Kluyveromyces lactis: one gene and its partners. The protein of the gene in region 1 purifies or fractionates together with the protein of each later gene. This does not show direct contact. Links are inferred from orthologs where the notes say so. Each region holds a gene or a part of one and is shown in the gene's direction. Other genes may lie near its edges. The genes, in order: RPL25, SIS1, KLLA0_E14257g, RBG1, ENP1, SDA1 and ARX1.

The links.
Region 2: the proteins of RPL25 (region 1) and SIS1 purify together in Saccharomyces cerevisiae (affinity purification with mass spectrometry; 3 studies listed by BioGRID). This does not show direct contact. The link is inferred for Kluyveromyces lactis from reciprocal best matches to the Saccharomyces cerevisiae genes RPL25 and SIS1.
Region 3: the proteins of RPL25 (region 1) and KLLA0_E14257g purify together in Saccharomyces cerevisiae (affinity purification with mass spectrometry; 3 studies listed by BioGRID). This does not show direct contact. The link is inferred for Kluyveromyces lactis from reciprocal best matches to the Saccharomyces cerevisiae genes RPL25 and LOC1.
Region 4: the proteins of RPL25 (region 1) and RBG1 purify together in Saccharomyces cerevisiae (affinity purification with mass spectrometry; 3 studies listed by BioGRID, with this or other methods). This does not show direct contact. The link is inferred for Kluyveromyces lactis from reciprocal best matches to the Saccharomyces cerevisiae genes RPL25 and RBG1.
Region 5: the proteins of RPL25 (region 1) and ENP1 purify together in Saccharomyces cerevisiae (affinity purification with mass spectrometry; 3 studies listed by BioGRID). This does not show direct contact. The link is inferred for Kluyveromyces lactis from reciprocal best matches to the Saccharomyces cerevisiae genes RPL25 and ENP1.
Region 6: the proteins of RPL25 (region 1) and SDA1 purify together in Saccharomyces cerevisiae (affinity purification with mass spectrometry; 3 studies listed by BioGRID). This does not show direct contact. The link is inferred for Kluyveromyces lactis from reciprocal best matches to the Saccharomyces cerevisiae genes RPL25 and SDA1.
Region 7: the proteins of RPL25 (region 1) and ARX1 purify together in Saccharomyces cerevisiae (affinity purification with western blotting; 4 studies listed by BioGRID, with this or other methods). This does not show direct contact. The link is inferred for Kluyveromyces lactis from reciprocal best matches to the Saccharomyces cerevisiae genes RPL25 and ARX1.

Annotation. Positions count from the first base shown.
Region 1 is NC_006041.1:675,009-678,017, forward strand, and holds RPL25 (60S ribosomal protein uL23), read left to right. Parts: upstream 1-1,397; coding exon 1,398-1,410; intron 1,411-2,025; coding exon 2,026-2,441; downstream 2,442-3,009. Other genes in the region: MRPS18 (mitochondrial 37S ribosomal protein YmS18), read left to right, coding at 2-619; BXI1 (Bxi1p), read right to left, coding at 2,682-3,009. UniProt on the Saccharomyces cerevisiae protein: Component of the ribosome, a large ribonucleoprotein complex responsible for the synthesis of proteins in the cell.
Region 2 is NC_006040.1:411,015-414,011, reverse strand, and holds SIS1 (type II HSP40 co-chaperone SIS1), read left to right. Parts: upstream 1-1,332; coding exon 1,333-2,397; downstream 2,398-2,997. Other genes in the region: TOR complex subunit LST8, read right to left, coding at 1-650. UniProt on the Saccharomyces cerevisiae protein: Required for nuclear migration during mitosis. It is required for the normal initiation of translation. Might mediate the dissociation of a specific protein complex of the translation machinery. Essential for viability.
Region 3 is NC_006041.1:1,262,037-1,264,866, reverse strand, and holds KLLA0_E14257g (Loc1p), read left to right. Parts: upstream 1-1,624; coding exon 1,625-2,248; downstream 2,249-2,830. Other genes in the region: histone acetyltransferase catalytic subunit HAT1, read left to right, coding at 1-1. UniProt on the Saccharomyces cerevisiae protein: Required for efficient assembly and nuclear export of the 60S ribosomal subunit. Involved in asymmetric localization of ASH1 mRNA.
Region 4 is NC_006042.1:2,172,863-2,175,886, forward strand, and holds RBG1 (GTP-binding protein RBG1), read left to right. Parts: upstream 1-1,227; coding exon 1,228-2,337; downstream 2,338-3,024. Other genes in the region: FUN12 (translation initiation factor eIF5B), read right to left, coding at 1-566; KLLA0_F23309g (uncharacterized protein), read right to left, coding at 2,911-3,024. UniProt on the Saccharomyces cerevisiae protein: Involved in ribosomal function.
Region 5 is NC_006042.1:637,107-640,622, forward strand, and holds ENP1 (snoRNA-binding rRNA-processing protein ENP1), read left to right. Parts: upstream 1-1,504; coding exon 1,505-2,941; downstream 2,942-3,516. Other genes in the region: SRM1 (Ran guanyl-nucleotide exchange factor), read right to left, coding at 1-837; SNAP receptor USE1, read right to left, coding at 3,155-3,516. UniProt on the Saccharomyces cerevisiae protein: Required for normal export of the pre-40S particles from the nucleus to the cytoplasm.
Region 6 is NC_006037.1:498,806-503,098, forward strand, and holds SDA1 (Sda1p), read left to right. Parts: upstream 1-1,291; coding exon 1,292-3,571; downstream 3,572-4,293. Other genes in the region: transcription factor TFIIIB subunit BRF1, read left to right, coding at 1-739.
Region 7 is NC_006042.1:1,098,132-1,101,785, reverse strand, and holds ARX1 (putative hydrolase), read left to right. Parts: upstream 1-1,364; coding exon 1,365-3,080; downstream 3,081-3,654. Other genes in the region: PDA1 (pyruvate dehydrogenase (acetyl-transferring) subunit E1 alpha), read right to left, coding at 1-357; recombinase DMC1, read left to right, coding at 3,632-3,654. UniProt on the Saccharomyces cerevisiae protein: Probable metalloprotease involved in proper assembly of pre-ribosomal particles during the biogenesis of the 60S ribosomal subunit. Accompanies the pre-60S particles to the cytoplasm.

The DNA of each region.
Region 1 (3,009 bases):
GATGCTGAGAACATTAGTGAGACTGTTCAGCTCAACGGCCAGGACAAACCAAGATGTGGCTTCCATCTTATTTTCATCTGTCAAAGGATCAGAAAAGGCTCCAGTGATGGAAGACACCAATGTTGTCCAACCTAATACTCTTCGTGGTAGCAATAAGAAAGGGAGAGTCGATGAAGCAGTGATAAAATATATATTGAACTGCAGATTCACTAAGAACAATACACATTTCACATACAGTGCCGTAATGGAGGATAGAAACTTTTTGGCGAACAATCCACAATTATCCTACAACGAAAAATATCTATACTATTTGAAACTCCCACAACAGGTCAAATTTCATTTATCTACTGGTCATTTAGGGTTCCGTAAAGCTGCCCGTGGTGAATATGAAGCCTCATTCCAAACAGCAACTAAGTTATTTGAAACTCTTTATCAGAAGAAGCTACTGGATAAGAATATAGAAATTGTTATGAGAGACTTCGGTAAGGGAAGAGATGCTTTCATCAGTGCATTGAACGGTAAGGAAGGAAACCTCATCAGACGTCACATATCTAGAGTAGCCGATGCTACTGAATTGAAATTCGGTGGTGTGAAGGCCCCAAGACCAAGAAGATTGTGATTCGGTCTCTCACCATTTCATCTTTCACTAATAGTCTCTGTGTATAGACATGAATTTGGAAAATAATTCGGTATAATAACAAATAATGCATGTATATAAATTTAACGTAACGCACCAGAATTTTCGTTTAAATACATTAAGACAGCAATTCGAAGTATGATTTCACACAATTATGACATTGCTCATGCCTTATAATCTCTGGATGCTAATTTCATCGAAGATTTAAAATTTTCCGGAAAGTAGCGGGACTGTTTTGTGGATGCACGGATTTGGCTTTAGATTTTTTGTAAAAATTGTTAGGTATTTTAGTATTCCATTTTAGGTAATTAAAATTTCAATTGGAGGTTCTAAAAAAAGGAAAGGCAGAGGAGGCGTTCCGGCTGCCAGGTTCTCACCGTTCTCCTTCTGTCGCTCCGTTCGAGTCTAGTCTTCCCAGCGAGAGGACTCTGATTCTGCCCACTCTCCCCTCTACTCGCACTGACATTCTGAGGTGCGTAGGCAGGAACTGCTGTCCATCCAGCCTATCATCCATTCCTTCCCTGAGCCTGGAGCCATATCCTGTACCTGCAAATCACAGTGCGATTGTGCTACCTGGCCAGGGATACCCTGTTCGTGCTGAATATTCCTTTCGACTACGGACAGTTTCGCTTGCGACCTTGTATCTGTATTGTTTCATCAAAAGTAATATTGAACGTTTTAAAGAATATTTCAATATCATTCGGTATTAGAGTACACTTGATTAGCATTCAAAGAGGCCGCACACAACCAAGACACAAAAATGGCTCCATCTAGTATGTTACTGAGATGCGCAACTGAAAGCTACATGCTGATAATGGTGGGATAACGACTTACCGCGGGCTGAACAAGTGAGAATGAAGATATTACCTTGAGAGTGTAATTACACACCTGTGGGAGCAAACGAATGGTAGAATAAGTACGCTAATGAGAAACCAACAATACGATCTGAATAATTGTACATGATATTACCTATGTGTGAACCTGTCATGAAAGCGGATGAACATCAAATGAAACGATGAACACAAACACGCTGCAATGAGAACATAAAGTACGAGTTATCAGCCTTTTAAATGATGGTTAAACAACTACTATTTCGATTAGATCCTTAAATTGGAATACTTTATCATGATACGTCGAAAAGTTACGATGCGTAGTTATACGGTTCATCGGTGTTTATGAGTTAAGTTTTTTGAAAACATGTTAAAAGGCCCACTCGACGCTTTCCCTGTACCGTTCAGAGCATAAAATACACCTTACATTTAATACACTTAAAGTCAATTCTCTAGTTTTACAGAAGAAAATCATGCCGTTATCGAACTAGTTATCCTTCAATCAACATTTAAATCCAGTTTTACTAACAAAATTTCCTATTATTATTTTTTCCACAGCTAAGGCTACTGCTGCTAAGAAGGCTGTTGTTAAGGGTACCAATGGTAAGAAGGCTTTGAAGGTCAGAACCTCTGCTTCCTTCAGATTGCCAAAGACCTTGAAGTTGGCTAGATCTCCAAAGTACGCTACCAAGGCTGTCCCACACTACAACAGATTGGACTCTTACAAAGTCATCGAACAACCAATCACTTCTGAAACTGCCATGAAGAAGGTTGAAGATGGTAACACTTTGGTTTTCAAGGTCTCTCTAAAGGCTAACAAGTACCAAATCAAGAAGGCTGTCAAGGAATTATACGAAGTTGATGTTTTGTCTGTCAACACCTTGGTTAGACCAAACGGTACCAAGAAGGCTTACGTCAGATTGACTGCCGACTTCGATGCCTTGGACATTGCCAACAGAATCGGTTACATCTAATCATTTTTAATGTATACATATCAACTGAATAAATCGTGTATTTCAATTAAATCATTTTAGTTTCAAATAAAGAAAAGAATGGATTTCATTAAAGCTTTTGAGAGCTATCAATGTATGAGACGTTAACAGCTTGTAATATTGAATCTGGGTATCGACTCTTGAGACATAAAGGGTAGTTCAGAACATATTTTTACTTGGACATAAGATGTATTTACATGTTTTGTAAGTATGCAAAAGGTGTTAATCGTCTTGATTTCTTGACATGATCCGTAGAATGTATAAAAATAGGTTGATGATATCCAAATACAACATCATAGCACATTTGATCTCTTCACCGACGAGAACTTTTCTTAGGATTAATTGCGTGTCGACGAATATATAGACTGTGAAGAGAATAACTCCAACCCAACTCATTAACAAGTCTGTATTTGTGTCAAAGTGGAAGAAAATAGATGATATTGAGAACCCTATCATTACCCACAAAAACATATTCAACCAATAGTACCATTTTTGGAAGTCATATATCTGGAAATAGTTTGTAGAAAGCAAAGTACTGGTGATTCCGATA
Region 2 (2,997 bases), on another chromosome or scaffold:
GCCGATAGTAGGACCCTGGTAATATATTTAGTATGCGATTTGAATTTAGTTACGGGCTCCAAAGTGGAAGCATCCGTGTGATGAGGCATCTTCCATACATAACAGTTCCCTTTGTTATTTCCTGCAACAAGCATCGATCCGTCGCTTGCAACGGACAACGACTGTAATGGCGTGTTATCTTCTGGTGTCAGCTGGTTTGTGCACTGGTTTTCACCAAGATCCCAAATCCTGATATTCCCATCCTGATCGCAGGAAATCAATTCCCCTTGGTTCGGATGTATCGCTACTTCATTGACAGGTGCATTATGCTTGTAATTCCTTTGCACAGATGGGGACCGTACATCCCAAACCTTAATAGTCCCATCTTCACTAGACGATACCATCCATCGATTTTCCTGTTGAAATGCAATCGACGTTACGTTCCCTTTATGGCCTTCGAAAGAGGACACCGGATTTGGATTATTCGACCGTATATCATAAAGACGGACGTGTAAATGACCAGCAGCAGCCAAATATTTCTTATCGGACGTAATCTCTAATCGATTCACTTGGGAATCTGCATGTTGAATGGTTCGTGAACAGACTCCAGTCAAAGCTTCCCAGAACCTAATTGTGTGGTCGTATCCAGCACTCGCTAGAATAACAGACATGGCAATATTGAAGTTAGTCTGACCGTACACAATAAGAAACCTCTACCTTGTTCACAGGGGAGAAAAAGCCTTGAAAACTCCTCAGATTCCTTAAGACTTTCTTTCATCTAGTATATTGCATATTCTTTATCACATTAAACCATAATTTGTCAATATTCATGATTGAGATATAAACAACAGCAATTGAAACAAAAGTGGAGGCATAGAGATAGCCACAAGATTGTGTAGTGGCTAATGTCATTGAATGACACCTGATTTGCGGCTTTGTGATGACAGATTTGTATTGGTGGGAAACTTCTATATCACGTGATTGTCACATGAATCTCGCGTGCTTAAAGCATTCATGTTTTTTTACTTCTAGAAGGTTCCAGGGTATACTCTGAAAGAACATGATCGGTTGCAACAGAACTGAACCTGAATATATAGGAATGAAATGTTATATAAAGGTTTTCAAAGAACAGGATGTTTTTCGTTCAAAGATTATTGGTCGTTGGTATTCGATCGACATGTTTAGAGAAGAGTTTTATTGCATCTTTTGTCCCATTGGTATCTCGAAACAGTGTAAACATTAACTGATTCTTTTAGTTTACTCTAATTCTTCTAGTTTAGATAGAGCTAATTTGAACTATCATTCGACATATATACAAAAGGACAATTACCAAATTTGAAACGTCGTAGGAGTATGGTTAAGGACACTAAATTATATGATTTGCTAGGAATTTCGCCTAGTGCAGGTGAAGCCGAGATTAAAAAAGGGTACAGAAAGGCTGCCTTGAAGTATCATCCAGATAAGCCTACAGGTGACACTGAGAAGTTTAAAGAAATCTCTGAGGCTTTTGAGATTCTTTCAGATGCTCAGAAGAGGGAAGTTTACGATACTTATGGTCTAGAGGCTGCTCGTGGTAATGCTCCTCAATTTGGAGGAGCGGGAGGGCCTGGTGGGCCTGGTGGGCCTGGAGGATTTTCTTCTGGTGGGTTTGCCGGGGGACATGCGTTCTCACAAGATGACGCTTTCAACATCTTTTCACAGTTCTTTGGTGGAGGAGGTGCTGCCGGAGGTGCTTCTCCATTTGGATTCTCTGCTAGCGGCGGGTCTGGTGATGATTTCGGGTTTGGAGGCAGTAGTTTCCATTCCTCTTCGGGCGGCATGCCAGGCGGTATGCCAGGTGGAATGCCAGGTGGAATGCCAGGTGGATTCAGTAGACAACAGGCTAGACCTGAAGAAGAAGTTGTTCAGGTCAATCTACCTGTGTCCTTAGAAGATTTATTCAGCGGTAAGAAGAAATCATTCAAGATCACAAGAAAAGGCGCCGGTGGTGTGTCCGAAAAGAACCAAATTGACATCCAATTGAAACCAGGTTGGAAAGCAGGTACCAAGATTACTTTCAAAGGTGAAGGTGACTATAATCCAAGAACTGGTGGTAGACAAACATTACAATTCGTTCTACAGGAAAAACCACACGAATTTTTCACCAGACAAGACAATGATTTGATTTACACTTTACCACTTTCTTTCAAAGAATCTCTTCTAGGTTTCTCCAAGCAAGTACAAACCATCGACGGTAAAACAATTCCAATCACAAGAACGCAGCCAATTCAACCTACTCAAACCTCAACATATCCCGGACAAGGTATGACACTGTCAAAGAATCCTTCCCAAAGAGGTGATTTGATTATTAAGTTCAAGATCGATTATCCAACCTCTTTAACACCTCAACAAAGACAAGCCATTATGGATAACTTCTGAATGAAAGATGAAGAATGTCTTTATAACGAAAATAAATCATAAAAGTATGACATGACGATTGCAAATTTAGACTTCTGACGGTGATCATGTTTACAATTCAACGTCTGCCAGAAATATTATCTTCCCACCATTATGGTTCTATGTCATATGTTTTCATTTCTTTAAATGTTTACTCCCATTAATTATTTCCAATTCAAATGTTCCATTCACATTCACTTCAGCAGAAGCAATCTTATCGTATGGCTACATTGTCTGTCGATTAATGCGTTAACTTTCTGACCACACTGTACACTATTTTCAAAAAAATATCCTTCGGTAAATGAAGCACGCAACATAAGTTGAGGACGCAATATAATATGCGAGAGAATACAAGGAGAATTATTCAATGATTGTTAATACTGGTAAAGTAAGAAACGGGACGTTTCATTGTGACACCTCGACTTCTGTTCACAATGTAACCATTTGCATAGATTTTAACCTTCATTTACCTTTTTATTGAGCAAATGACATCATGCAAATAAAAGACATACCAATCTGCAAGTTTCCCGACTTCTATTTGGTTCCGAACAATTGATGTCTGCCAAAAAAAAAAAAACTCCA
Region 3 (2,830 bases), about 590 kb from region 1:
AAACGTCGTAATGTCTTCTTTGGATGGTTCACTTGTCAAACAAGCTGGTAACTAAGACTTATTACTTCAACTTCATGAATTGTCAAATTAACATGCGAGAATTCTTTTCTCATTTAGATAAATAGAAATCAAAGATAGTTAGTCCTTTTTGGATTATCTTGAGTTTCGACCACGATGTCGTGGATTACTAGCGCCTTAGCGGCAAGAATTGTCTACTGCTATTTTACTTTAAGAGCTTTCTTCATTATAAGAAGAATAAGTTAGGCCTGATATTGATAAACCAAATCTGTACTACTGGTAATGTATTAACCGCGATTAAATTGAAAAATAGCAAGTTTTGAGAATATGGTACTGTCTCTTATTGAACAGGATACTGTGAAGTAGTGACATTAGGGACTTGGTCTAGAGGGATAGTGATGTAAAAGTTGATGATGGACATTTCGATCTCCTGATCGGGTTTTTCTGTACTTTCTGGACGATAACCTGGGGATTTAATTAAGAGCTTCGCATGTGTTATGTAAACTATTTATGATGTTCTTTGGTTCTTCTTCGATATTCTTCTTGGTATATGCCGTCTAACATACATATAAATGTAGAACAATGATAGATATATCGTCAAATTCGAATGGAAGAATTCGATGAAGAAAACTCTATTTATATATTTTCGGGATTTGTTGATCAATAACAATATGCTATCGTATAGATCCTAGTTCATAGCGGCTCCAGTAGTATATTTACTGCTTCTGAAAAAAAAATGACACCTTAGAAGTTCTCTCACAACTCCATACAATAACATCTCCACTACCTTCTTCCCGGCTTAATTTTTTAATATTTATTATTAATTTCCTATTGAAACAGAAAATATATTTATTTTTCGGAATAGTAAAACTATACAATATTTTAAAATAAATTGAATTAAGTTTTATTTAAATTAAATAGATAATTATAAAAAAAGTAAAAATTTATTTATTTCTATTATGAGAAAATTAATAGATATTTTCTCTAGAAAAATAAAAGAAGAATTAAAACTAATTTGAAATTATATTTTATTTGCACGTGATATATATACATCACTTTGTTCACTACTGTCTTGTTTAATATACAACATAACTATATGGATTATCATTATTATTACTATACTTAAAAAGACAATTGAAAGAAAAACTAATATCATTCGGATATCTGACATTTAAACTCCAGCACAGTGTACCTATATTACCTTATACTAGTCGTGAGTTGTGTACTCTGTATCATCTTATTGTTTCTGATCATTTATTCATTTTCTATCATTATTATATTTTTTTATATTTTTTTATCTAATTTAATTTATTCTATTTTATTTTAATTGTTTATTCTATTTTTTCACATTGACATGCAGGAATTCAAGAAATAAAGTGTTACCAAGCGAAAAGAAATAAAAATAAAACTTTTCGATGATGAATTGAGCTCATCTCATCGCTTTGGTAGAACACTATCACAACTACTACAAAAGCACAACTGGACTTGAATTTATACCTCTGGGTACGCTGTCTACTAGTTAAACCGCGAGACAAGTCTGAATTTACAATAATCAGACTTATAGAAGAAAAATCCTTGACGCATAACAATCCATCGAACTTGAAAGATGGCTCCCAAACAATCAAAAACGGCTAAGAGATCCAAGAAACAAAATGGAACGAGGGAAGTAAGATCAGAAGTATTCGAGGACTCTATTGCCAAAAATCAAATGGCAAACGTGCCTAAAATGACTGAAAAATCTGATACCAAGAAACCAACCAAGTTACAGGTGAAGAAGGATAATTTCAAAGCACGTCTATATGGTAGCCAGAAGAAGAAGGAAAGACGCTATACCGAGAAAGAATTAAATATTCCAACACTTAATAGAGCGATTGTACCTGGTGTAAAAATCAAAAAGGGTAAAAAGGGGAAGAAGTTCATCGGTGATCATGATTTAATAGCGTTAAACAGATTAATCAAAACGATAGGTGATAAAAATGATGAAATAACAGAGAGCAAATTAGAGAAGACAAGGAGACTCGAAGAAATTCGTGATCTAAAGAGACAAGAAATGGAAAGAAAAGAAACCGAAAAGAAGGAACAACTAGAGGGTAAGAAAGATGAAATCAAGAAGAAGGCATCCGTTGCCAGAACTATTCGTAGGAAAACCAAAAGGCAAGAACTGAAACAAGAGACATTAGCAGCTCAGTCTGAACCTATCAAGAAGAAGAAATCTGTCAGCTTTGCATAGTTAATACATCAATTTATATATGCATATGTGTGTATGTAAATGGAGGAATCGATAACCTTTTAGCATCGATCATGTGACTAAACATATTAAAAACATTAGATTACCGTTACTGTAACAACTGGAGTTAATCAGCGTTTCAGCCTCAACACAATTTTGGTGTCAGCAGCTGTTCAAAGATTCGGATATGAGGGCGCATGTGTGTATCCGGCTGCCATGTCGGTCTTCTATTTTCTAGTCATTGTTGATGATGAGAGAACAGAGACATTTCAACGTTGTTGGGGACTTCCATACAATGCAGATTGAAAAGTGGGACATTCTTACGATTCTGAAGCCAGATGATAAAAAAAAAAAAAAAGAAAACTGACGCTGCTCTGCCAGATACCGTTATTGACAAGATGCTTTCAGCTGGTAAACACAAGCACCATTTTTTTTTACGTGACTTAACTATTCTGAGTTCATCTAGTATTCTGGTAAAGCAACGGTCAAAAACTCATCCCTTCAGAGTTTGGCATGTGATTAACAAGGAGGAGACAAAAGGGTCGTCAATTTAACCCGTTCCAAATGCAATGATCGTCGGTTTAT
Region 4 (3,024 bases), on another chromosome or scaffold:
GCCTTGGCCAACTTTTCTTCTTCTTCCTTCTCCAATCTCTCTTCTTCTTCCCTGGCCAACCTTTCTTCTTCTTCTAGCTGCTTTTGTAACTCCAATTGACGTTTCAAAGCAGCAAGACCGGCTGGGACCTTCTTCTTTGGTGCAGCCTTTGGTGCCGCACCTTCAGTGGACTTGCCAGCCTCCTTTTCAGCCTTCAGTTTAGAAGTTTGTTCAGCATGAAGTTTCTTGTTGTTTTCCTTCTGCGCTTGTTGCTGAGCCTTCTTCTTTGCGGCTTGTTCCCTCTTCTTCTCCTTCTCCTTCTCCTTCTTTTCCTTTTCCTTTTCCTTCTTGGACTTCAAGACTGGCTTCTTAGTATCCTCGTCTTCCTTCTTGTCCAGCTTCTTCTTAGATTTCTTCAAAGTGGACATAAAATCTTCCTCAATGGCAGATGCATCGGCAACTTCGGTTTCACCACTTGGCTCAACAGAACCATCTATCGAGGGTTCTACTGAAGATTCTTGAGGAACATCTTCCTCATACTCTTCGTCCCAGTAATTCTGTTGATTCTTCTTTGATTTTTTCGCCATCTTGAACTACTCTTTCGGATACAAAGGTTCTACTTTTACAGTTCTTCCGAAATCTTATTATGATAGACAGCAAACAAAGTGTAAAAGAGGGTTATAACAAGTAAAGAGATAATGTAAAATCCTTTTAATTGATCTTACGCAAAACAATCTTTCAAATAGTTTTAAGTTGTGAGAAAAACCTGTACTAAAAAATAAAAAACTGATGAAAAACTTCAAGTTCATGATTATACGTACCTCGATGGAAAGAAAAAAATAACATACTAGATTACCCTGTCTTTGGTGAGGTGCGCCCAAAATTCATCTTTCAGGGGCCAGAAAGGTCCCATTAGCCTTATTTTCGGGGTGAAGACCGGTCGATGCCATTCAGCATCGCTATTTACGATCGGCGTTGAAGATGTATAAAATATCACCTTGGACGGCTTGAAAAAAATTGACAGCTTCATCTTTGTCAACAGTAGGAAGTTCTACAGATATTCACAATCTCATCGCTTAGGATTAATGATATTAGAGTTTCATTATAGTTTGGTTACAGAGGCCAAAATCAGTTAAACGGTTGGAATCGATAGGTATCAGTCAGTATTCCACTGAGGTTGGCATCAAATTATAAAAAAAGGATTTATTTTGAAGAATTTCCTGATCAATATCTGAATTGAAATAAAAGATGTCTACGACAGTAGAGAAGATTAAGGCCATCGAAGATGAGATGGCCCGTACCCAAAAGAATAAGGCCACTTCTTTTCATTTGGGTCAGTTGAAAGCTAAGCTAGCGAAACTTAGAAGAGAGTTATTGCAGGCTGCTTCAAGCGGTAGTGGTGGTGGTGCCGGTGTTGGTTTCGATGTGGCCAGGACCGGTGTTGCTTCAGTCGGATTTGTTGGGTTCCCCTCAGTGGGTAAGAGTACTTTACTTTCTAAGCTGACTGGTACAGAATCTGAGGCTGCTGAGTACGAGTTTACCACTTTAGTTACGGTTCCAGGTGTCATCAAATATAAGGGTGCTAAGATTCAAATGTTGGATTTGCCGGGTATCATTGACGGTGCTAAAGATGGCCGTGGTCGTGGTAAACAAGTTATCGCTGTGGCCAGAACTTGTAATCTACTATTTATTGTTTTGGACGTTAATAAACCATTGCATCATAAACAAATCATTGAAAAGGAATTGGAAGGTGTTGGTATCCGTTTGAACAAGCAACCTCCAGACATTTTAATCAAGAAAAAGGAAAAAGGTGGTATCTCCATTACAAATACAGTACCATTGACGCATCTAGGCCCGGACGAAATTAGAGCTGTTATGAGTGAATATAGAATCAACAGTGCGGAGCTTGCTTTCAGATGTGATGCCACCGTCGATGATTTGATTGATGTACTTGAAGCTCCATCAAGAAGGTATATGCCAGCTATTTATGTGCTAAACAAGATAGATTCTTTGTCATTAGAAGAATTGGAACTTTTATACAGAATTCCAAATGCAGTTCCAATCTCTTCTGGTAAGGAATGGAATTTGGATGAACTACTAGAAGTTATGTGGGATAGACTAAACTTAGTCCGTGTTTATACTAAGCCAAAGGGTACGATGCCTGATTTCACAGACCCAGTGGTGTTAAGGTCGGATAGGTGTACCGTAAGAGATTTCTGTAACCAAATTCACAAATCTTTAGTTGAGGACTTCAGAAATGCTTTAGTGTACGGCAGCAGTGTGAAGCATCAACCTCAATATGTGGGGCTTAATCACACATTAGAAGATGAAGATGTTGTCACAATTTTGAAGAAATGAATACAGGCTACTTTTTTTTTCTCATTCTTCTCACCGTCATCATAGTTTTTAGCATTTTCATCGCATTTTCATGTAGTGTTATCCATTTTATTTAACAGCTTTCCATAGACGGATCTGGTTAGATTATCGTAAACGTTCATTACTCAGGTTGCCATAACTTCTGTTAAACATTAACTCAATACTGATTTGTCGTGTTATGTTTAAATTCATAAATAGTAGTAAATATATGATATTTTGTGAAATCGATAGCAACGGATACATATGGCCTTTTTATATTGGCCAACATATATGTTAAGATATAAAAGCAATGATGGATGCTGATGGTGATATGGAAAGAAAGAATGAATGAATGAAACTTCGGTTATTTGACGAAGTGAATATTATTCTATTAGAAATGAATGTGAATAGTATTGGTGGAATCCTCAAAATCACAGCAGTATTTTAATGAATCCTTTTAAGGTGCGATATAGTACAGCTTGAATTAACAAACAAGGAAATCTGGAGGAAAATGCAGCCTACTGATGAGAGTGTATTCCATTGAATAACGGATAAATTCGCAGAGAAATAAATCCCTTATTTATTTAACGCCATTCTTTTTAGTCGTGGAGTTGCGTATTGCCTTGCGTTGTATGCAGAACTGTTATCAGGCTCAGGAGTTTGGAAATCAGAAGAATAACTGCAGTCGCT
Region 5 (3,516 bases), on another chromosome or scaffold:
CGATGAAATATACTTTATGTTATCCAACCCAAATGGTCTTGGATCTAAAGTTCTCAAACGAGAACGTTCCAAAATTCTTCTACCTAATTGTTGCTGTTGACCATTACCCCAGGCGTAAACAATACCAGTTTCATCCAAGAACAATATATGATCTTTCCCAGCAGCCATTTGAACAATCTTGGCTTTCTTGGAGAAGTTAGGGATTATCCAAGGGGTTTTCTGGACGGTAATCTCATCTCTGTAGAAACCTAAAATACCTTCGTTACAACGGAAGGTACCCCAAGCGTAAACGTCACCATTTTCAAATAGAGCAGCAGATAGATTGTCTGTGGCAGCAATCTGTACACATCTTAATTCGTCCAATGGTAAAGAGTCTCTAGGAATTTTAGTTGGAGTGGATTCAATTTCGTTGAGGTCACCATCTTCATCATCATCACTATCATTTGCATCCATATCTTTCAATTTTTCTACAGCTCCGCTAGTGTCTCTACCCAAAGCACCTGAGTCGTTAGTCCCCCACGACCAGATGTTATTGTCAGCGTCTAGCGCTAGGGTGTGCATTCCACCTGCAGCAAAAGACACAATTTTAGCCTCATCACGGGGCAAAAGGGGATTGAGTCTAGGTCTCTTAACTTCTTTGTTTTTAGCTAGAGGACCCAAGCCTAGTTCACACATTGATCCAGTTCCCCATACAAAAATGTCAAGTGGAACAACAGATCTATACAAATGTTTATAATCATCTTGAGAATTGATGCTAACAAACTTATGATTCAAAGTAGAGTGTAAATGCTTCCTTTTAACTGGAGTGTTCGCTACACTAGAAGATCTTTTAGACATGATTTCTTCAGTAACTGGTGGTCAATTAAAAGATTAATTGGAAGGGCCTAGTCTAATGTTAATTGTAACTTTGCTAAGATTGCAAGGAACGAAAAAAACGGAAATGAACACTTGGTTTTTGATCAATCGATAAGTACAACTCAAGGGAGAAGCTTGAGTGAACAAGAGACCAGCAATGTGTCACCACGCATATGAGATCACATTACACTTGATCCATTGTTAATTATATATACGTAAAACGAATCTAAGCTGCAGTTGAAAAATCTTTCCAGATTTTAAAGTCACGTGCAAAACAAACAACATTCTTTGCCTGTAATCATTAGAAGAACATAGCTCTTGGCTGTTTACAGTAGCTTGAATTTGTGTTCAACGCTGTGGCATATCTGTTTCAATCACGACGATCCCGCTGCCAATGCTCCAGAGTTATTTAATTGAACCTTTGACTTCTCTAAACAGAGTATCTCTAGCCTTTCTTTTTCTGTCCGTGCATTGACTGAAAATTTTTGGGATTTGAATAAGTAACGATGAGATGAGAAGCGATGAGATGAGATGAGATGAGATGAGATGAGGTAAATGGCAGATAACAATCACAAAATTACTCATTAGTGTCTGCTTTAGTGCTCAGAATACGACTAGTGATACAAGATTTATTTGTTCTACGGAGAAAATGGGTAAAGTAATGGGTGGCAGCGGTCGTAAACAGAGACACGATCCTTTATTGAACGATCTTGACTCTCAACATGGTAAGTTGAAAAGACAAGGTAAGAAAAAGATCGATGCTAAGGATCAAAAAGGCCATGAAGATGAAGAATTTGTCGATGCCCAGCAATCTAGAAAAATTTTGCAATTAGCTAGGGAACAGCAGGAAGAATTAGAGGAAGAGGACGAGCAGTCTCTGCAGACATCCAGCCAAGGAATAAACAGATTCTGTGTGGCCAACTATGCGGATGAAGATGATGTAGCTGAGGAAGAGGAAGCTCAAGGTAATAACATATCTGACTTTGAACCGGAAGATGAAGACGATTTCGAAGGATACGAGGAGGAAGAAGTGGTAGAAATTGACGAAGAAGATGCTGAAATGTTTGACCAATATTTCAAGACTTCTGCTGATTTCAACTCTGCCAATGGATCATATAACCTTGCCGATAAGATTATGGCTTCTATTAGAGAAAAAGAGATGGAACTACAGTATAATGAAGAAGAAGCAGGTGATGCCTCTGCAGTAGCGGAACCAGCTGCACCTGTAGATCGTACAGAAGGTGTCGCCTTACCACCCAAGGTGATTCAAGCATACCTTGCCGTTGGTACCATTATGCAGACCTGGAGACATGGTAAACTACCCAAACTATTCAAAGTTTTGCCTTCTCTAAATAACTGGCAAGATGTTCTCTATGTTACTAATCCAGAGGAATGGTCTCCGCATGCTATATACGAAGGTACTAAACTTTTTGTTTCTAACTTATCATCTAAAGAGGCCCAAAAATTCGTTATAGCTGTGTTGTTACCACGCTTCAGAGAAGAAATTGAATTTAACGAAGATCACAACTTAAATTACCATGTCTACCGTGCATTAAAGAAATCATTGTATAAACCGGCTGCCTTTTTCAAAGGGTTCTTATTCCCACTTGTGGAATCCGGTTGTAATGTTAGAGAAGCTACCATTGCTGCAAGTGTGTTATCCAAGGTCTCTGTGCCAGCTCTTCATTCTGCTGCAGCATTGTCCTACCTTTTAAGATTACCTTTTTCCCCAGCCACCACCGTTTTCATCAAAATTCTACTCGAGAAGAAGTATGCTTTGCCTTATCAAACTGTTGACGAATGTGTCTTCTACTTCATGAGATTCAGAGAAGTCACTGATGGAAGTACAGGCCAAGATGCCGTCAGAGTCTTACCTGTGGTATGGCATAAAGCTTTCTTAGCGTTTGCTCAACGTTATAAGAATGATATTACCCAAGATCAAAGAGATTTCCTACTTGAAACTGTTCGTCAAAGAGGTCACAAAGAAATTGGACCTGAAATCAGAAGAGAATTATTAGCCGGTGATAGTAGAGAATTTGTCAGTGATGTTGGTAATAAAGCTGATTTAATGTTTGATGTTCTGTAGTCAATAGTCCTATAACAATATAAGTGCCTGTCAATTTTAAACAAGTGTATAATATGCAATTATAGATAAGACAATCAATAGAATCAATCTATTCGATAAGTGGAAACGGTATCAATTAATTTCATCGAATATTCATGAGTCTATTTTGTACTTTGAAGCTTTTGAGTGAAGCAGAGCCTTTATCTAAATCTTGGAGATTTTAGCGGAAGACACTCATAAATCTGGAAATACTTTTATTACAAGATAGGTGACCAATAGACCAATTATAATAAACGATAAAAGTCCTAACTTCATTAAAAATCCAATTTTTTCATTGTGATACTTTTTCAATCTGGATCCGAGTGAAGAAAGGCTCTTAGAAGTAACATGCAATCCGATTTCTGCTGCCTTAAGAACAGTAGAGTCGTGTTCGATAGCATTCTGGAAAGCTTCCGCACCTTGTCTTAAGCCTGAAACTAGCTGGGACATGTCTTCAACCAGTTCCTTCTGAAGATCATCCTGAATTTGCATTTGTTTGTCAAATGATTCACCCTCCGTATCAGCGCTGTCCCTTCTTTTACCCATAAGCCTTTGGC
Region 6 (4,293 bases), on another chromosome or scaffold:
ACTAAAGGAAAAGAAAATAAAAGATTCTTTGGATACTAAAGAGATGTTGGAGACAAGCGAGGAAGCCGTGTCAAGAAATCCAATTTTGACTCAAGTGCTCGGAGCGCAGGAACTATCGTCTAAAGAAGTCCTTTATTATTTGAAGAAGCTTTCTGAACGCAGAAAAGCTGAATTCAGTCGTATAAAAGCTACGCATGGAATCGATGGAGAAGACTTACACAAAACTGAGAAAGACAAGAAACGTTCCCTGGATGAAATTGATGGATATAGTCTTGAAAAGGATCCATATAGACCAAGAAATTTACATTTATTACCCACCACAGCTTCTCTGCTTTCAAAAGTCAGCGATCATCCTGAAAATTTGGATGATGTTGATGATGCAGAATTGGATTCTCACTTGTTAGATGAAGAAGCTTCCAAATTGAAAGAACGTATTTGGATTGATATCAACGGTGATTACTTGATTGAACAAGAATCAAAAAGACTCAAACAGGAAGCAGATTTGGCCAGTGGGAATACTTCGCTACGAAAAAAACGCAGCAAACGTACTAATAGAAACCAATCCAGTGCAAGCATCGTCAAAGTTCAAGTCGACGGACTACCGCTTGATGTTTCCGTGGATGACGCTGATGCTGTAGATGTTGTCGCAGCTGGAGGTGTCAAGAATCTATTACAAAAGACGACTTTCTCAAAGAAGATCAATTACGATGCTATTAACGGTCTCTTTGGACAAAAATAGTTTCTACGTCGTCACTGTTTCTCTTCTCTTGTACGATATCCATCAGATCAAACTCAAGAAAATTATATGAATACCAACTGCTATTTACATATCGTTACTTGATACAGATGTCTGTTTTTGCTCTTTTTTATTTTAATATTTTACACTAAATTGGTGTATCAATTTCATTTCGATTATATTTTTGGAACTATATTTAAACGGCGTACATAATTTATAAACATTGCAAACAAATATTCGTTTGGTGTGGACTATTATTCATTTATGGAACACAATAATAAGCTACCATCAGTATACCATTTTGCCTATTCAGATATTAAAGAGCCTTAAACCCACTTTTTGCCTCTGGTTTCTTCTTTCCGTACCGTGAGTGAAAAGAAATTTTTTAGAAGGAAGAAAATTTTGAGATGAGATGCGATGAGATAGAACCTATGTATGAACAAAGTATATCACTCCGAGACAACTAAAGTTGCCTAACACTATTCGAACTTGTGCAAATCAACTAAGTATTTCCGAACAGTGAAAAGGAATCACATAATCAAATAAGAAACAAATATGGTTAGGAGATCTCGTGCTGCTATTCTACCGACAAACATTATTCTCTTGCAGAACCTTGTTAAGCGTGATCCTGAATCCTATCGTGAAGAGTTTCTACAGCAATATGCTCACTACCAATCATTAAGAGACATTTTCATGTTAAATTCGGTCAACAACGAGAGCACTGATGAAAGTGCAATGGCTGAGTTTATGGGAGCAATTGGATTTGTATCTCAAGTTTGTTCCTGTTATCCTCGTGAAACGGCAAACTTCCCAAACGAATTGAAACAGTTAGTATTAGATCACCACAAATCGCTTCCGTTTGACGTGAAAGAAAAGATTATCACCAGTCTAACTATGTTGAGAAATAAGAACGTTATCAGCCCTGAGACTTTGATTCAAACTATGTTCCCATTGCTTATTGCATACTCTTCCCCTAGTAATTCGATGGTCCAGAATTCTCACGCCAAAGAGCTAAGAACTTTAATCTACAACACTCTAGTACAGTTGATGAAATCTTGTAACACCAGTGGTAAGAACCAAAAATTAAACAAATCTACCCATGCGTTGTGTTTCAATTTGTTGGAACAGCCAGATTCTCAAGGTATATGGGCATCGAAATTGACAAGAGAGTTATGGAGAAGAGGTATCTGGGACGATTCAAGATCGGTTGAAATTATGACCCATGCTGCACTACATAACGATGTTAAAATTGCATACAGTGGTGTCTTGTTCTTTTTGGATGCTGATAAAGAGCGTGAAGAAGCGTTTGAAGAAAACGACGATGAGGATGAAATCGATACTACCGCTTTGAAGCACAAGCTCCAGATCAACAAGAAATCTAGTAAAAGAGGTAAGAAGCTAGAGCAAGCACTTAAGGTCGTAAAGAAGAAATCTGCTAAAGGTGTTCAACAGAATAATTTCTTAAATTTCAGTGCCATCCATCTATTACGTGATCCACAAGGGTTTGCCGAGAAATTGTTTGAAAGACATCTAAGTGGTAAGAATTCGAACAAATTTGATTTCGAACAAAAGACTGCCATCATGCAATTATTATCCCGTTTAACAGGTACACACAAGTTAATGGTTCTTGGACTATATTCATACTTCTTAAAATACCTGACGCCAAAGCAAAGGGACGTTACCAAGATTCTATCTGCTGCAGCCCAATCCTGTCATGATCTTGTTCCTCCAGAGACCATTGAAGTGATGGTGAGGAAGATAGCCAACGAGTTTGTTAGCGACGGTGTTTCAAATGAGGTTGCCACTGTGGGTTTGAATACAGTCAGAGAAATCTTGACTCGTGCCCCATTAGCTATCGATGAGACTTTACTACAAGATTTAACCGAATATAAGGGCTCCAAGGCCAAGAGTGTCGCCATTGCTGCTAAGGGTTTGATTGCATTATACAGAGAAGTTGCTCCGGAGATGTTAAAGAAGAAAGATCGTGGTAAGACCGCTTCTATGGGACTACAGGACGACAAACGCAATGGCAGGGAATCCAAACGTGTCAAGTTTGGTGTCGAGACTACTAATGTACAAGGTATAGATGGTATTGAGTTACTAGCGAAGTGGAAGCGTGAGAACGGAAACGAGGAGGATGATGATGATGAGGCTGCATGGGATTTGAACAACCGGGATGAATTATCAGATGCTTCGGATGTAGAAGGTGAGTGGGTGACGATAGAAAGCGATAAAGAGTACGAAGTTGACATGGACTCTGACGATGAGGAAAGCAAGAACAAAACAGGTCATAAGGGTAAGAAACGTTCCCACGATGAAGTCGAACCGGAAGCTGGTGAAGATAGTGATTTAGAATTATCCGGTGATGAAGAAGAACCAAAGGTGGGAGAAGAGCAGAAGGAAGAAAGTGAATCCGCTGACCCAGAAGAAGCTTTCCGTGAATTAGCATCCAGTCGTATCTTAACACCAGCCGATTTCGCTAAACTTCAAGAACTACGTACTGAAAAGGGTGTTACTAAACTTATGGGGATCAACAACGAAGAAACTATTGAGCATTACAAGCTTATGGGTCCAGCCAAGCACAAGAAACAGAACAAAGAGGAAAGAATGGCATCTATTATGGAAGGTCGTGAAGACCGTGAAAAATACGGAAGTAAGCGTGGTAAGCGTGACAGTTCAATGAGATCAACTACAAATAAAGAGAAATCTAGAAAGAAGAACTTTGTGATGATGATCCATAAGAGATCTGTGAAGGGTAAGCAAAAAATGTCGCTTCGTGACAAACAAAAGGTCTTGCGTGCTCATATCACGAAGCAAAAGAAGAAAGGTAATTAAACTAGATGGCATGGCAAAAGTAGTTATATTAATTATAGGCACTTGTAGACACAGCATATAAAAGATAGAAAAAAAAGACACGTCAGTGTCACGTGACCAACTCATTTTCTCCATTTAGCCCAGTTTTGAAGTTGTCCTTTCAGCCAATGTGATATCACCATCCGAGACCACTTGTCTGCTGCTCATATCCCAGGTCAAAAAGGACTATTAACACGGCTTAACGGTGTGCCAACGGTTTTGGACCGAGAAGGACATGATCTAACAGGGAAAAAAAAAACTCGAAAAGAAAAAGAGACCACTACAGGATGTTTGAGGAACTTCAGCTTGAATGGAAATCTCGACACTATCAGCTATATTCATGCGTCGGCATTAAGCCTTCTTCGCATCACGGGCTGTGGCCCGTGATGCTGGCCCGCACTAAATGGGGCCGGGAAGGCATATGTTCCAACGCGTTACTCTCGAGGGAACGATTTACTACTGCCTAGACTAGCTCGTCTCAGTATTATTCAATGTAGTGCAGCAGCATTCACCTGGGGTGATGTCTTTACAATAAAACCTATACAGTACAACAAGAGCCGACTTTAACTCACAATTGAATGATGAGTCGTCAGTGAAGTAATCGCAAACGCAGTTAAGACGAACTATTGAAACGGTCGCACCTATGTATTCCTGTGTTTATTTTAATCTACCATTGATAGCCTCTTGTCTTTTACTTGTTAAGT
Region 7 (3,654 bases), on another chromosome or scaffold:
AGCGTTTTCAATACCAACGGCAATGGCTTCTTGACCGACAGAGGAGTGACAGAAACCTCTAATTTTCTTAGCCTTGTACAAAGCGTCACAGGCCATTTCCATTCTTCTAACGATAATCATATCCTTGTACATTTGTAGCAAATTGGACTTGGTGGTTTGATAACTTAATTCAGGAACATCCAAAAGATAACCTTCAAAAGAGGTTTCTGGCAAATCAATTTGAACTAGGTCATCATCACCTGGCTTAGTTTCATCAGCAACCTGGGACAAAGCACGGACGTTTTTAGAAAAGTTTCTAACCAATCTCAAAGAGCTGGACTTCCCAACCACAGAGGATTGAGCTTTCAAAGATAGCATGGTTTGCCTAATTTATTGTTCTTTTCGGTATTAACTACTATAGCGACCAACAATTAGAACACACAAATACACACTCAGCAGTAGTGATGGCAAAATATGTTGTATAGAGAAGAAATAAAGAAGAAGAAGCTCTGAGTTCCTGATTCTATATTAAAACAAAAAAAAGCCAACTAATGAACGATTCCTTGTTCCAAAAAATTTGACAAAAATCAATCAATCAATCAATCAGTCAGTCAATTAATCAATTGCTTGGCTCAGTATCACTGAAAGACCAAAAAAAGGTTCTTAATCACGCAACAACTGTTTCTCATCATATTCACAATTAAATCCGCCTTTAAATACTTGTGAACTTGGGAAAAAAACTTCAAAAAATTTCGTAGCCAGCCAGTCGGTATAGATAAGGGACTTGAAATAACAAGAAGTGGGTATAAGCAAGGTCAATTTTGCTCTAATTGGGGTCAAACTTGAACCGTTGGGTAGCTGATGATGCGGAGAGTATTGATATTCTACTTATTATGGGATATCTGACAGTTTCGTCTGGTGTAGGTAGAGTTTATTGTGCTGATTCAATTAGACAGACGGGATTGTTGTTAGAAAGAGTGGGAAAAGTGACGTGCACAGCGCGGTGTTTGGGTGGAACATGGGCAGCAGATCTATTACCCGGATAATATGCGGGTCATGAGTTCTAATGATACACATTACCCGAATATTAATACTTTTGGCGCACGTGATCAGAAAGTGATTTCTTTTTCATTCTCTTCTGATCGAGGTCCGGGTAATATTTTGGAAAATTTTTTGAAATATCTTAGTGCTGTGTGGCAGGAAAGGTTGTATCCAGGAAAGAAATTTGGAAAAAAAAAGTATCAGTGAAAACTTTAAAGCGATGAGATGAGATGAGGTAAAGAGAAACGAGGTACATACTTACATCATTATCATAGTGTATCGTTCCCTCCTTTGTATCAGAAAACAGCTAATACTAATAATTTGTGGATAAAATTATCCGTACTATGGCGTTACAAATCTCAAAGGAAGACACTCAGGTGTTATTGAAAGATAAGAATGTATTGATCGAACCAACAATTGAGAAATATAGAACTGCAGGTCAAATTGCTCAGACTGCTTTAAACTTTTTGATCAGTTTGATCAATAAGATGTATCATGAGAAGTCTATGGAGCCGCTACCGATTCATCAACTTTGTTTATTGACTGATTCGTTCATAGCCGATTGTTTAAGTACTAAGTTCAACAATAAGGTTAACGAGAAGGGAATCTCAATGCCAACTTGTATTGATATCGATGAAATAAACGAGAACTGGTGTCCTGAAGTGGATGACATCGAAAACTTGTCCCGTTGGAACCAAAAATCTAGATCTACCAAATCGATCGAGCTATGTAACGGTGTTACTTCTAGTTTGTCTGGGTTTTTGAAAGTTGGTGATGTCGCTAAGATCACTTTGGGTTGTCACATCGATGGGTACACTTGTAACGTGTCCCACACCGTGGTCATTTACCCAACCGTTCAGGATGCCCAATCTGGAAAATTGCTACCTGAAGCTGCTTTGCTAGGTGGTAAAGCTGATGCTCTAGCTGCCACCCATATCGCTGTTGAGTCCGTCACTAACTTATTAGCTGCTGCAAACGATTTGACCAAACTTCCAGCTGATTTCAACGCTACGAAGGTCACTGGTTCCTTGATTAGGACCGTAGTTGACACCATTGCTCAATCTTATAATTGTTGCGTTGTGCCTGGTTCTCGTATCAGAAGAATCAAAAGATTCCTTTCTGGTCAAAACGAAAATATCATTGTCGAAAGAGACTTCAAAGGTGTCATTTGGACTGAGTCTCATCAGGAAGCTGCTATGCTTGCTAGAACCGTCAATGAAACTGCTGTTGATGTCAAGCGTAAGAACCCATTTATCACCGAAGATACCGTGGTCCCAACAGATGATTTTACCGTTGTCAAGGGTGAAGTTTACATGATCGATTTGAAGTTGGCTCCATTGCAAGGATTGGAGCCAGGTTTGATCACTTTACACACTGTCGATCAATTCTCCGGTAAATCTGAATCCTCTGATGTGGTGGCTAGACCAGGTGCCATCTGCCGTGATTTTTCAAAGAGCCATGTTCTAAAGTTAAGAGCTGCTAGACAAGTGTTGACCAGATTGGATAAACAAGGTGTATACCCTACCAAATTAGCTCATATCGCTGATTCTTTCCCATTGGACGTACAGGAGCCTGATTTCGAAACCATCAAGCAAGAAATCAAGCCATTCAGATTAGGTCTTTCTGAAATTTCTAACAACTACCTAACAATCGACAGAGATGTCACCATCGTAAAACACGTTCCTTGGGCTAAGATCTTGGATCTAACAAACCCATCCGGTGTGTCAAGTTATGACGCCATGGCAAAGAATAAAGGTTTATACCCAGGTTTCGAGCTTCCTCTACCTAAACTAGGTTTGTCCAACCTACAGTTGAAATCCTTGCTAAAAAAACACTCTACGCCAGTTCCTGTGGTCCGTCAATGTGTCACTGTAGCCATCTGTGATGAAGAGTTGCTAAGAATCAGCGGAAACCTAAAATCTAACTGGGTTCATTCTGTTTACTCTATGGATACTGCAAGCAATATCGTTGCAGGTATATTCAAACTGGCTCAATTGTCCGAGGATAAGAGATTTGGTTTGAAGATCAGAGAAACTCAACCATGGAAAATGAAATTCTAATTTATTCATTACCAGTATTAACTACCTTCTTTGATAGAACTACTTCAACAGATAACAAATTCTATTTCATACACAAACACCCTTTTCGCATCTGCACACAATAACTCTACATTGATACACCAGTTCATATTATATTCAATACTCGTTTGATTTCGGTAGCCCAAGAGTCTTGTTCTTATGAGTCTTTATTCTTACCAACCAATTGCAACAAAAACAATGTATAAATAGCAACTTCTAAGTATCTTGTAGATCTGTACACTAGCAAAATCATAATAGAACTCAAGCTCTCAACTTTGTCATTAGTTCTTCTACTATTAGTGTGTTTGCTTCGGAAGGATTATCAAAACGTTCAAAATGATGGCGGCTAATTAGATTTTAGTATAAAAAGGATTTGGAGTCAGAAACCAAATCAACAAACCCAACTACCAATGAATATGACATAGCGAGATATCTAGTGCACATAACTAGGAGCGAGAAGGTGATCCTAAAAACCAATAACTTTGCATTTCATTCTACTTGAAACGTCCCATTCCATTTCTATTTAAGCTGTCATGTCTACAGAGACAGAAACTAA